Linked DNA regions of Diceros bicornis minor. The protein of the gene in region 2 purifies or fractionates together with the protein of the main gene of each other region. This does not show direct contact. Links are inferred from orthologs where the notes say so. Each region holds a gene or a part of one and is shown on either strand. Other genes may lie near its edges.

Region 1 (7,087 bases), on a different chromosome or scaffold from region 2:
CCCAACCTTAGTATAAAACAAGAGTTCCAAGGGGCCGGCCCTGTGGCGTAGCAGTTAAGTGCGTGCGCCCCGATGCTGGGGGCCCAGGTTTGGATCCTGGGCGCGCACCGATGCACCGCTTGTCAGGCCATGCTGTGGTGGTGTCCCATATAAAGTGGAGAAAGATGGGCACACATGTTAGCCCAGGGCCAGTCTTCCTCAGCAAAAAGAGGAGGATTGGCATGGATGTTAGCTCAGGGCTGATCTTCCTTACAAAAAACAAACAAACAAGAGTTCCAATACAGGTTTGCTGAATGACTTGACATTTATAATCCAAAATTTTTAAGTCCTAATCTAAAAGCACACATTTATACAAATGAAATAATGTATACACTATTTCTGATGATGATGTTTTCACTTTATTTTCCATGTTCCTATCAGTCTTCATAAACTTAATGGCTGCATAGTATTCCATCACACTTATAGTCTAGAAAACGATTCTAATACTCTCTTTGAAGGTTGTTTCCAGTCTTTTTATATTGTATAGCTAATGCTCCAGCAAACATACCTTGCCTTACAAGTTTCACAGATTTATTTCTTACTGGAAAAACTGGGCTCAACACTAGAAGAAGATAATCTTCTACAATAGAAGTGAATGTTAAAAGAAAAGATTTTTACTCCATAGGCAGAATTTCGAAAGACAAACAACACATACAAACAAAGAAACTAGAATTCTTTTCTGCAAACTCTAAGCAATTCAAATAAATCCTGTAACCACTATGAAATGCGTCGTCCAAAGTAAACTACGTTTTGTAGGACTACTTTACATATATTTAGGAAAGATACTTCTGGGGCAGGCAGTAAAAATTTTTAGGTAACAAACGAAATGTCTATTAGAACTTCAATGCTTTTGGAAGGAGGTGCACACTTAACCTCCACTTGCTTGGATTCACAGAGCTTGCTCTGACCTTCAGATTGCAGAAATGTAAACAACTTTGGGCTTCTGAAGATGCCTTGATTCCCTCTTCCCTCCATTTATAGATTCTAAGTAATAATCTACCTGGCCTTAAGCTTTGACCTTAGATAGAAGGAGCTATGGAAAAGCGTATTCTATTTTACAAACATGAAGCTAGTTTATACACATACTCATTTAAGAAATTTGTGTTGAGCATCTACTACTGCATCTCCGCAGTATGGCCCTTCAATGATTACCAAAATCATAAACCCGGTCTCCTTTATTTATTTGTTTGTTTATTTGGAGGGAAAGGAAAGACAGAAAAAACAGTTAACTATATTATAATTTAATTGTTGTCCAAGTATGATTGCTAACAATCATCGCTAATAAGATAAAATATAAACTGTAAAAGGTAACTTCATTTTGGGAGGAAGGAGCCTTTGAGGCCACCCAGAAGATATGCTCAAATATGTAATTTTTAAAAGAAACACGCTATTTAATTTATATTTTGTCTGTCAAATTTTTCATGAAGCCCAGTATAATTTCGTATCGTTTGCTTTACAGGTTTTTTCATACACACATAAAACAGGGACTCATCGAGACACATATACCAATTCAGTTATTTAAAACAGGAATTCTATAGGTGTTTCTTGGAAATAGCGAAGCTTTCAACCCCACAAGTTCCATTCACATACTGCATAACATTCCACACAGTACAAAAGCGCATGCCATGACAAAGACCTCCCAAGACAAACATACAAAGCCACGCTTCTAAAAATGCCCTTAAAGCGAAGTTCACAGCTGGTACTTGTGGCACACTCAAGCCACTGCTGAGGCAGCTGTCACAGGCCAATCACACACCCAAGAGTGCCAGCTTGCCACCTAAGAAGCCAAGCTGACGATGAGCGTACAAATCCCCTACCGAATAAAGGAAAGCCCCAAATCCCCACCCTGTAAAGCACAATGCCTGCACTACCTGGAAAACTCTCTAAAAAAGTGAAAGGTTGGAGATTTAGAAGCAATAAATACCAGTTTATAGCGGAACAATAAAAGAGGGGTTCTGTTTGGGCATTCACGAGAAAGGAACCACACCACCCAATCACCACGGAAGTATCATCTGCTAGATAGTAACACCAGGCTTTTTCAATTGGAAAAGGAAAAAGGAGGGCGAGGGGAAAATGCAGACCCTGCAGCTCCTCCCTCCTCGGCAGCGCACCGGGGCTGCTGCGATCCCCGCGTCCCAGGCCCCCTCCCACCGCTTCGCAGCCACCGCCTCCCACCGCGGGCCCGGCAGCCTCCGGCTCTTACCTTCGCTTTGCCGGCCTCCAGCTTCTTCTGTCTCTCCTCGTCCTCCATGGCCTCTGCGGAGAAGGCTGGGGGAAGACAGGGAGGGAGTCGGCGATAGAAAGGAAAGGTCGATTCAGACGGAGGTGAGACTGCAAGCTCCGCGGCCCAGGGAGCAGGGCCGAGCCCGGCGCTCCCCCTGCCCGGAGTGGAACCAGTCTCTGCGCTCACTGGCTGACCGTCCTCAATCACACGAGCAGCGCGTCACCGCCGCCGCCATCTTCGTCTCCACGTAAACACACGGCGAGGCACAAGCCGGAGGGGGGGGGGGGTGAGGGTGGGGGGCACGTCGGTCCGCGCAGGCGCCGCGAGCCCCGCCGCGCCGGGCAGGTGCGCTTGCGGCTCGGCCCTGCTCTGGGCGCCGCGGTGGGGGCGACTCCGGCCAAGCCTCGGGCCCCGGGTCCCGCAGGCGAAAAACCGGCGGGTAGAGCGCCCTTTCTCGGCGACGAACCCTCTCTAGATGGCGGCCTGGCTGAGAGGGTGGGAGGCAAGGGGTGTGCCTGGGGCGCCCCGTCAGACCCCCACCCACCATCCAAAGGACTCAGTGGTCGCTTTAAAACAATGAGCTTTTTCAAGTTGCAAAAATAACTGGTGGAATTGGTGAACGCTAAAAAGCCCCAAAGGAAAAGATTGAGAGGAGGGTGGATGAGGACCTACCGGACGTCAGTTTTTCAACCTAGGTTGATTCCTCGACTCGAGGAATTGGGAGAGCATCCAGTTGCTCTCATTATCGCCTTAGCCTGCAAGTCGCTCCCTCTTCCCCGCACTGGCCTGCCCAGTCTCCGGTTCACCCTTCAAGGCCCACCTCACGCGCCGCCTCTGAATAGCTTTTCAGATCTCTTTGTTCCCTCTGCCGCAACTGGGAGTATACTGTCAACTTGTTCCCCTCCCACTCCTCACTGGAGCTTCTCCTTAGCAATGGTGATCTGAAAGGAGCCTGGGCTTGGGAACCTGGGTTGAGGACAAAGCCAGTGTACACGAACTTTCTAGCTTGAATGACCTTGAATATGTTACCTATTCTCCCTGAGCTTACCTGGAAGTTTTGGAAGGGTTGTTAATATATGTGACTGCCCCGGCATATGAAAATGTCCTCAATTAATGTCAGTTTTATTTCTCCTGGTATTTCCTTTATGTACTCTGCATGATATTTTGATAATTTGTGTTCAGCTCATACTCCCAGCTCCTTGATGGCAGAGACTTTCTTGCTCATCTTGGCGTTACTAAAATGGCTAGCACAGTGCTTTGCGCCCATAAACACGTTGAATTGAATTGAGCCATTTTAATAAATTGAGCGTTACTCTCCTTTTTTTCAGCTGCTCCCTCACGTACTTCCTTTTTTCTCCCCACACTCCTACACGCAAATCAATTCCTGGGGTAAACTACACATTTTAATGTCTCGGGTTGATTTCTCAGGTTGATCACGTTTCTCCTTTGTTTTGAGCTAGGTTGGACTGAAAAACTTAGCAGGTGTGAACTAAAATAAGCTATGAGTTCAATCGTAGAAGTGGTGTTAAGTGAAAATTGGGATTAAAAAAGGAAAATGAAAAGATTAAAGACGTTAAGTCTACCACAAACTGAAGACTAGTTTTAAATAGTCCCGATTTAGAAATTCTTAGATTTGAAAAACAATTTCTTTTTTCTCAAGCTCCACAATGCATACATAAGTGTGCCAGCTTGTAACACCCAAGTATACATTGTCCTGTTATCTTAACTTGCATTGGGAACTGGGTGAGATTAGACATTTCATCATAGGAATAAAAGAACTGAGACAATAAAAGAAGTGATTTATTATCACTCACCCAGCTCAGGGTAGAGCTAGGACTGGAACCAAGTGTTCTAACAGTGCAGTTAGAACTGCCTGGATTGAGGGATTATGTTTGTAGATTCTGATTGCCTAGGAGGAGGAAGCCCTAGAATATCTGACAAGATATTCCTGTTTTTTAGTAGATACTGCTTTCTCAGTGACTAAGGAAGCCAGCTACTTGTTCCAGTATGTGCTGAAAATGTTCCAGAACACCTTCTAAAGCAATAGGATTATTTTAATGTTTCCCTTCACTAAGAGCAGCAAATCATACATGTCTGTTTTATATATAGTAGGTGTTCAATAAATGTTTTAGGTTAATTATGTGTTGGCTTCTGTTAGAAGGGCAACCATGTGGCACTAGTGCTCTGATGCATCCTTGTGGCACCTATTCATTGATGTCATGTCATTCATTCATTCATTCAAGTCATTTCCTGAGAAGATGATATTTGAGCAAAGACTTGAAAGGGGCGAGGCAGTGAGCCCTGGGGTTAGTGAGGGTATAGCCAGTCTAAAGGCCCTGAGGCTGAAACATGACTGTGGTGTTAAAGGAAAAGCAGGAGGTGAGAGTGGCCAGAGCAGAGTGAGCAAGGAGAATAGCAAGAGGTGAGGTCAGAGAGGTAACAGGAGGCTAGATCCTGTAGAGTTCTGAAGGTCATTGTAAGGACTTTGGCTTTTACTCTGAGTGAGATCAAGAGCCATTAGAGAATTTTGAGCCAATGAGTGAGATGATCTGGCTTAATTATTAAAGAACATCTAACTGCTTTGAGGAGAATGAACTGTGGGATCAGTTCGGATGCCATCACAATAATTCAGACAAGACATAATGGGAATTTGGACTATGGTAGTGGTATTAGAGGTAATGATATGGGATCAGATTCTGGATACTTCTTGAACATGGAACTAATAGTGCCATAGGACCTGTAGATTGAATGTGAGGTTTGAGACAAAGGGAAGAGTCAAGGTTGACTCCAACATTTTTGGCCTGAGCAACTGAAGTGATGGAGTTGCCGGTAACTGAGATGGGGAAAAGTAAATACGGAGGAGACCAAGAGTTCAGTTTGGGACGTAATAAGTCAGAGATACATATTAGGCATCCGAGAAGTGATGTCAAGTAGGCCCTTAGATATCTGAGTCTGGAGTTCAGGAGAGAGGTTCAAGCAAGAAATGTAAATTTGAGAGTAGTCAGCATATAGATGGCATTTTAAGTTAAGGGATTGGATGAGATCATCTAGGGCCATGCTGTCTAATATAGCAGCCATTAGCCACATGTAGTATTGAGCACATGAAATATGGCTAGTCTGAATTGAGATATGCCATATGTTGGATTTTGAAGACTTAGTATTAAAAGAACTTAAAATGTCTCATTAATATTTTTATATTAATTATATGTTGAAATGCTAATATTTGGAGTATATTGGGTTAAATAAAATATATATGAATTTCACCAGTTTCTTTTTACTTTTTTTTTAATGTAGCTACTAGAAAATTTCAAATTACATATGTGGCTTGCATTTGTGGCTCACGTGATTTTTCTGTTAGATCACGTTGCTCTAAGGAGTAAATTTAGATAGAGAAGTGATACAATGACTGAGTCTTGGAGCACTCCAACTCTAAGAGGGAGGGAAGGTGAGAGGAATCAGCAAATGAGACTGAGAACAGCAGCTAGCTAGGTAAGAGGAACCAGGAGCCAAGTGAAGAAAGTGAAGGAAGAGGGAGTGATGGACTGTAGCAGCTGCTGCTGACAGGTTAAGTAAAATGAGGACTGAGAAATAACCCTTGAATTTAGCAAGGTGAAAGTCATTGGAGGCTTCCATGGAAGTCACTTTAAATCAGTCAACTCTTTCCTACTGAGTGCAAACACTGCCTCAGTATCCTTCTCACAAAGAGAAGTCGCTCCAATGGACCAGAGTTGAAAAGGGAAGTGATATCTATTTGTCATCCCTGATTGGAGTTACTTCTAGTGATTTTGTGTTAATAACGTCTGTGAACCTCATAAGTAATCTACACTTCTTTTGGTGTTGACTTGTCTTCCAAATAGTGAGAATACTGCACTACACTTGTTTCCCCAGAGGAATTAAATTCAAGATTTCTAAAGGTACCTTTTATATTTTCCATTTAAATAGTGTTAGTTCCTCATTGGCAAGACAGCAAACTAGTATGTGAAGAGTACCAGTGTGATCAGCAAACAGGAGATAACTCTAACTGTAGTTAAATCATATTTTGAGAAGCTTTCTCCGTCCCTCCCCTCAGTACATTGTGATTGCCATTTCCATGTTATTTGCTCTTTCACAAATTGGTCAGGTGCAACCTATCAGTCATTTCATTTTAGTAGCCAATATATATCACTAGACCTTGACCTCACAAAAGCTGCAGCAGCAATTGAGGCAATTCCTTAGATTCTGTGTGAAAAAAGAAGATGGTTCTTCTCTTCTATATTGTCTGGGACAAAATACAAAGTATAGCCCCTAAATTCAGGAGGAGGGACGTTACAGTTTGTATTTAGCCTTTTCTTTTGTGGATTAAATAATTGTTCTCTAGCCTTATCTTATATGGTCTATTTAAAATATATTTGATCATTTTAGTTGCCATTCTCTGGATCTTTGCCAAATTCTATATAACTCATTTAAGTTAACCAAGTGATTTTCATTAAATATTTGAACTATGTATCTCACCATAGCACAATTATCCTGAGTTTTCCTATGTGCTTAATTTCTGTTTATGTGTCACACATATTTTAATGACAATACTATATGATTGACTTATTAACCTCATTTTCATTTAAATGCAGACATATTTTACCCTTACAAAGCTGGTTTTGTTTTTTCTTTAACTTGTGGCTTTCTGGAGTTTTTACTGGAGTAAATTATTAATATGCAATTCAATCATGTCCTTGTCCACAAATCTTTAAAATGTACATAGGCTTTTAAAATTTTAATCCAGTTCTTTAAGGCACCTCACTCACTGTATTTTGTTATACACCTCACCCATTCTGTATTTTGTTACAC
Region 2 (6,867 bases):
CAGGGGTTCCCCGATGGGGGGGACAGGATATCCTGGCTTGCTTCCCCAGCTGCGCCTGGGAGAGTGTGCCCAGCCCTGCAGGGCCCGCCAGGACAGCAGCTCCCACACCCACCAGCCCGCCCAGGGCCCTTCAAGGCCAGGCTCGTCCTTCTCGGGCCGGAAACCAAGCCAGGCCCGGGTCGCAACAATAATCCTGCACGTTTCACAATCCACGTCACCAAGGACACAGCTCTTTCTCTGCCACTATCTCGGACACTCCTTAGAGCGACACCAGGGCTGGAGCGGGCCTTGTGCACCCCCCTCACAGGGCCATGGCCACGCTCCAGCCACTGGCCACAAGCTGCAGTCCCAGCTCGAAGGCCAGGTTCCCTCAAGAGACTGGCTGATTCAGAGAGCACCTGGGCTCTGTGAGTTTCCTGGAGACGTAGGGGTGAGGGGGCAACTTCCCAGGCCCCAGACAAGCCACGCACCCTGCCTGGCCAGTGTCCCCCTCCAGCCCCACCCGGCACGGGGGGAATGTGGCGGGTGTTCACTCCCCAGGGCCACAGCACAACTCTTGCAGGACAGGGCCCAGAGCAGGAAAAGACTGACCCAAGGTCACACAGCCACTCTCAGGAGCATCCCTTTCCCAGCTCCCCGAGGGGAAGCCGCCCCTGCCCCGCCAGCTCCTGGGGAGGCTGGGCAAAGGCAGACTCTGCTGAGCAAACTTCCGAGGGCTAAACAATCAGAATCAGGAAGAAAACACAAGTGTAAGCAGAGACTTCCTCTGGGGTGCGGCGAGCCCTCTTCCTCCACAGGGCGACGCGCGCCCACGGCCTGCAAACCCCGGACCCGAACCAGTGGTGTGTCTGGAGGCCCCTCACCCTGGCGGCCCTCCGGGAGTGGGGGGCACTGCAGACCGCCTGGCAATCCTCTGCCCACGCCTCCCCCCCTTTGCCTGGAGCTGGCGTGCAGGGCTCCAGGATGGAGAAACAGCTGGGCAGGGTCTTCCCCAGGACCCTGCTGTGTGGTCCATCCCACCCTGGACATCTCAGGGAGTCTGGGATCCAGCAGGTGAGGGCTAGGAGGCGGGCAGCCCACATGCACAGCAGCGCCACAGCCTGGTGTTGGCTGGGTGTTCACATGGCTGGTGTGGGACTCGGGGGGTTATCCCTTGGGGTCACTGCACAGGAACATTCCCCCAAACCCCAAGACAAGCCAGTGCTGCTGCAGCTGCGGGCAGGGCCCCCGTCTCCCACAGCCACGGTCACAGCTCACGTGCCCTCTCACACTCTGGGAGGCTGGGGTAGAGAAGAGGCTTGAAGATTGTGGTCCACCCATGTTTTCAGGGACATTGACCCCCAGACTTGCCTGCCCCTCAGCAGGGAGGGCAGCAACCCCCATATCACCTGCACTCACAGCGGAGCAAGGTGAGAAGCTGAGGCTGCCCCGCCCCGCCGCCCCTGCCCGAGATGATGCTCCAAGCTGGTTGGAGCCTGGCTTCCGCTGCATCCTGGGGGCCCTGGTGGCAGCTGCCACTGGGAGAAAACGGGACCTGGACGCTCCTCTGCCAGGTCTCCCCTGCCCGAGGCCAGCCAAGGCAGCAGGGATGAGCGCCGGGCACCACCATTAGGAAGCCAGAGGGAGGCCACCCGTGTGGCCCCCGGACGAGCCCCCGCAATCAGCGTGGGGATGGCTGAGTGAAGGCTCACAGGATAGAGGCTGGCACCATACCGAGAGGCCGTGGGCTGGGCAGCCAGGAAGTAGGACCATGGAAGGCAGGGAGGGCTCAAGCAGGCAGCAAGGAGGGCGGCCCCGAGGAGGTAACTTCCTCGTGCCCCTGTCCCTTTGAAACGGAGTGCCCTGCCCTGCCCTGCCTCACGCAGGCGCCACACCATGAATTAGAAGCACCTGGGTAACTGCAGGGGCCAGGTGCTGCCTGGAGGGCCCTGCCCTCTCCCCGTGCACAGCTTCCTCTGATTGAAGCTGGCAACGTGGCCCAACCCCTCCCCTCCGCGTGCCCCCTCCAGGCTCCTCGCTTCAATCCAAGTTTTCATGAGCTTGGTTCCTCAACTGGGGCAGGGGGCACTCCCCACCTCCGTGCTGACCCCTCAGGGAACACCACCGCCAAGAGGCCTGACCTGACTGGGAGGGTCTGTGATGCTGCTGCAGGAGCAGAGGGCCCTCCCCTCTAGGGGTTCCTGTCTTCCCTACAGGGCCACCCTGGGGAATCTTCTCCCCTGCACCCAAGAGCAAGCTCCCCCCGCACATGTCCTTTCCCAGAAGGATTAACACCTGGACCGTCCCTCCAGCGAGGAGTGGAGCCAACTTCTGGGCTCTGGCACCCCTCCCCAGCTGGCTCCCGCCACACACAGGCCCAGGCAGGGCCAGCCGGGAACTGCCCGCCCCCACAGGCTCAGAGCCACACGGCCCTGAACTTCAAGGGACAGGCTCCACGATGTTTCTGTTCTGTCTGTTAACCTCTTCCTTCCCTCCCGGCTGCTCCCAGTCGCAGCTCCGACCGTGGTCCGTGCGGCAGCAGGTGTCACGGGCACAGCGCTACCCCGACACCCCTCCCCAGCCCCGCGGAAAGCCCCTCGGTGCCGGGCCTCGGCCGCCGGCGATACTCACACGGCGAAGTGGTAGACGAAGCACTTCCAGCCCGTGGGGCGCTCGAGGAAGTTGTAGACACGGCCCTGGATGTGCGTGCGCGCGAGCAGCGGGCGGCGCGCGCTGTAGATGGAGACGCGCGGGTCGAGGCTCACAGGCGGCCGCGGGCCAAGGTCGGCGACGGCGGGGGGCGCGGCGGGCGGGGCAGGGGACGCGGGGGACGCGGGCCCCGGGGCGCCGGGCGGCGCGATGGGCGCGTAGAGCGCGCCTCCCGCCGGGCCGCCCTCGGCCAGCTCCAGCGAGAACGGGCACTTCTTGGCCAGGCCCGCGCTGCCCCGCCGGGCGCCCGGCAGGCGGCCCCAGCCCCAGCGCTTCCTCTCGGCCCTGGGCGGGGAGGAGGCCGCGGCCATGGCCAGGCAGGGCCCGCGGGGGCCGGCCGGGCGGCGGCACCGGGAGCTGCAGAGAAGGCGGGCGCCGGGGCGCAGTGCGGGCAGCCGCTGCTGCCAGCCCCGCCGCGGGGGGCCGCTGCCCGCCCCGCCCGGGGGTAGGGGGCGGGGCCGGGAGGGGGCGGTGGCCGCGGGCCAGTCCCTGGGGATGGCGTGCGCCGCCCCGGGCCGGACGCCCCGCCCTTGACCAACCGGCGCGCACGCGGCGCCCAGTCCGCGCTCACCTGCTTGGTCCCATCCGGGTGGGTGCCCACCTGTTCGTCCCGTCCCTTTCGCATTCACCTGCTGGGCCTGCCCGGTTCGGTGCTTGCCTGCTCATCCCCACCTGCACCCACGTGCTCGCCCCCCCACGCCCACCTGCTCTGCGGGCGCGGAGCCTCCAGCGGATCCGGGAAGGAAGGCTCGGGGTTGGCAGGTGCAGCGACCGCGAATCGCGTGGTCTGGGCAGGAGGGCAGGGTAGGGCTCAGGCGCCCGCTTTACCCTCTCTGAGCCTCTTCGAAGAGGAGGTGGAAAGTAAATAGGGAAGGAGGGGCGCCCTGGGGCTCGCGGACTGACCCTCTCGGCGCCAGGAAGACTGCGTGTTAGCCCCGCGAACACTCTGAACTTCCCGTGGGTGCCCGGGGGCGCACGCTGTGGGCAGAGAAGAATGATGTTGAGTCGGTGCCCACTAGGGCGGTCGGACCCAGGAGGCAAGACGGGGCCATCGACAGTCAGGGACGGCCCAGTGGGAACTGTGCATGTGGGGAGGCTGTGGGCGGCACAGCTGGGGCCTGGATGGAGTTTGACTGCGAGGCATGGTGAGTGGGGCTGCCTGAGCAGGTCGGGAGAGAGGCGTTTGGGCAGCCCTAGGAGTGTGAAGACTGGGTGTCCTATCCCTGCCCACCTGATCGGGGCTGCTAGTCGGCCCTGTGGCTTTCCCTGGGTGAGGGTGAGTGTAGAGGTAGGTCATGGGATCAGGTTTGTGCGGGTCCCCTGCGCTGCCTCCAGCCGTGCTGCGCTGGCGTTTGGGTCCCTGTGCATTGACCAGACGCCAGGGTGGAGGATAGGGTGGCAAATAGAAAAAACCGGCTTCTCTGGAGACATTGCCCCAGGCAGAGGTCGGGGTCCATAACTAAGAGACACTTCCCAGGTCTTCCCTGAGCACCCGGGGCTGATTTACTCAATGTACCCCCCACCAGAAAGTCAGCTCTTGACGGTGGGCAGAGTCCAGCTCCGGCCCTTCACCCCTGCCTCCCCACACCTCGGAGACTGCCTGCACACGGCCAGCACAGTTTGTGTTTGCAGAGAGAAGAGGGGAGTGGGTCTCAGCCTGTGCCGGGCGCTGTGGAGACTTGGGCACCACTAAGGCCAGGGCACCTTCCTCAGAAGTGCGTCACTTAGGATCCCAAACAGGCAGAGAGTCCACCTCTGCAGGGCACCAGGGGGACAGGCCAGGGCACACGGCAGGCAGGCAGGCAGTATTTCCGAATGAGCGCATGCACGAGCGAGCAGTGTCTGCACATCCGCATCCCAGCAGCAGGAGGAAGGTGAACTTTAATGGGCGGTGTTGGGACAGCTGGAGAGCCATAGAGAAGGGAAAAAGATAAAGTTGGATCCACATGGCACACAACACAAGGATAAATTTCGAACGGATCAGAGGCTTAAATGTAAAAGTTGAAATGAAGCCATTCAGATGCTATCAGACTTCCTCAACAGTCTGGAAGTAGGGAAAACATTTCCAATGGTGGAGACGAATGACAAGCTGACACAGCTGTTGGCAATTGACCTCACAGGCTGAGGGGCAGTAGCACCGACACGTAAAAACATCTAAAACCGAGAAGACGACGGAAACAACCCGTGGAAAAGGGAGCGAAAGACACGAACGTTTCACGAGAAAAGAGGTTCGCGATCTTTGCACTTAAGAAAAAAGGCTCAACGGCCGCCCTAACAAGAAAAATGCAAATTAAAAGTACACTCTGATACCACTGCTCACCTATCTGATTGGCAAAAACCCAGACATTTGCACACTCCATGGGCAGGGCAGCTGAGAAGCAGGTGGGCAGGGGGCCTGGAGGTTTAGCAAAAGCACATGTGTCCTTTGCCCCAGCAAGTTAGTTCCACTTCTAGGAACTGACCCAAAGACGTGGAAAAAGTGGAAAATGATATCTGCACACTGCTATTGGTGGCAACATGATTTGTATGAGCAAAAGACTGGAAACAGCCAGAACATGCCCAGGGCACTGAACCATGCTAAGGTACAGCCTCACAGTATAGCCCGCTATCAATATTATCTCTAACACTCTGAGGACGAAAGGAACCCAAAGAATCATATTCTTGGTAATAATATTGGTGTTGTTACTTTGGAATTATATATGTGTATAATATATACATAATATCTATATCATGTTAAATTCCTTAGGAGCCAAAAATTTTGGTATAAGAGAAAAGAGATACAGATATAAAATCGAAGTATGAACCAAACCTTCAATTTGAATCGGGAATATTAGCAGAAACTCCTCAGCTATGTTATCTTAAAATTACTTTCTAGCTCTGTCCACTGAAGAGTTTTAGGAAGGGCCAGTCAACAACAGAACAATTTGAGCCTCACAAAGAATTATAGATGAAAACATATCAAATATCTTAAAAACCCATTAAGTCATAATGATACTAAAATATCCTCATTGGCCCTTTGTAGGTTGCTAGGGCTCATTATTCTGAAAACGTTAACAGAGGGAAAAAGTTGAAGGTTTACCCTCCCTCCCCTGTCAGAACCGAACCTCAGGGTGAAAAGAAGCCGCCCGCACTGGTGGCATGGACCGCGGTGTTTCCGGAGAGAATTAGGTGATGTCGGGAAATTGCTCCGAGACAATCAGCGGGGAGGGGCCGCCAGTCGGGTAGAGATGAGAGCTAACGCCTCTGAATTGGTCGTTGGTGAGCCCCGGTGAGCGCAGTCACGATGCTGTGCGCCCTGTGTGTTTCCACATTTAAAATATTATAATAAGTAGCTGCCCAAGAACCTGGGGAGGCTTCTTGAGGGGGCTGCATGCTAGCCCAGGGTCGGCCGGAGGAGCAAGTGAGGGGCTCTCGGGGGGCCCTGAGCTATGAGGGAGCTGCTCTGGGGGGTCCTGGGCCCACCAGCATGGGGACGCTGGGGAGCATGGAAGGCTAGACAGAGGGTGGCCGAGAGCTCCCTGCAAGCTCAGAGGAGGACCCTGGGGGAGCACTGGGAACCCCTGGGCACGCTGAGGGGTGGGAGCTGGAAGGAGGGAGGGATGCCAGGTGCGCAGGTGCGGTGAAGTGGGGCTGGGCTTGAGAAGGGTCGGGTAAGGAAAGGCCCAGGGTGGAGGGCTGGGGGTGGGGCTGGGGGCAGGGTCAGCCGCAGGAGCAAGAAGCACAAGCCAGGCCTGCTCCGCGGTGGGTAGCAGGCCTGACCCAGCCCATTAGCTCACCAGCTGCTCCCAGGATGCCCCTCCACTGAGGACAGCCCCTCCTGGCCACAGCCCCCTCCCCAGGACCTGCCTGAGGGCACCTCGGTCACTCTGGGTACAAGTGTCACGTCCTGGGTATTGGATGCAGAGGCTGATGGATCTACCTGGCCGTGTTTGGATGGAGAGGCAGCCCCTCCCTGCCTCTCAGGCCCACGGGCCATCTCTGGGCCTCAGAACATTCTGGAAACACTGCACTCACCTCCCTTCAGTGGCACTTTGCCAACACCCCTCGGTGCACCATACTCACCCCACGTTCCTTGCATGGGGTCAGAAGCCAAATGTGAGAGGAGCCTAGAGGTCATCAAGCACACATGGGTGACCCGAGGCTGGGGAAGGGAGGGGTGGGTGGCTGCTGCGAGGCCAG

Evidence for each region.
Region 1: the proteins of KCNQ1 (region 2) and AKAP9 purify together in Homo sapiens (affinity purification with western blotting; 3 studies listed by BioGRID and IntAct, with this or other methods). This does not show direct contact. The link is inferred for Diceros bicornis minor from reciprocal best matches to the Homo sapiens genes KCNQ1 and AKAP9.

Annotation. Positions count from the first base shown.
Region 1 is NC_080742.1:29,433,340-29,440,426, reverse strand, and holds the start of AKAP9 (A-kinase anchor protein 9), read right to left. Parts: upstream 3,002-7,087; 5' UTR 2,936-3,001; intron 2,494-2,935; exon of another isoform or gene 2,308-2,493; 5' UTR 2,291-2,307; coding exon 2,243-2,290; intron 1-2,242. UniProt on the Homo sapiens protein: Scaffolding protein that assembles several protein kinases and phosphatases on the centrosome and Golgi apparatus. Required to maintain the integrity of the Golgi apparatus. Required for microtubule nucleation at the cis-side of the Golgi apparatus.
Region 2 is NC_080770.1:2,284,796-2,291,662, forward strand, and holds the start of KCNQ1 (potassium voltage-gated channel subfamily KQT member 1), read right to left. Parts: upstream 3,022-6,867; 5' UTR 3,000-3,021; coding exon 2,611-2,999; intron 1-2,610. UniProt on the Homo sapiens protein: Pore-forming subunit of the voltage-gated potassium (Kv) channel involved in the regulation of cardiomyocyte excitability and important in normal development and functions of myocardium, inner ear, stomach and colon.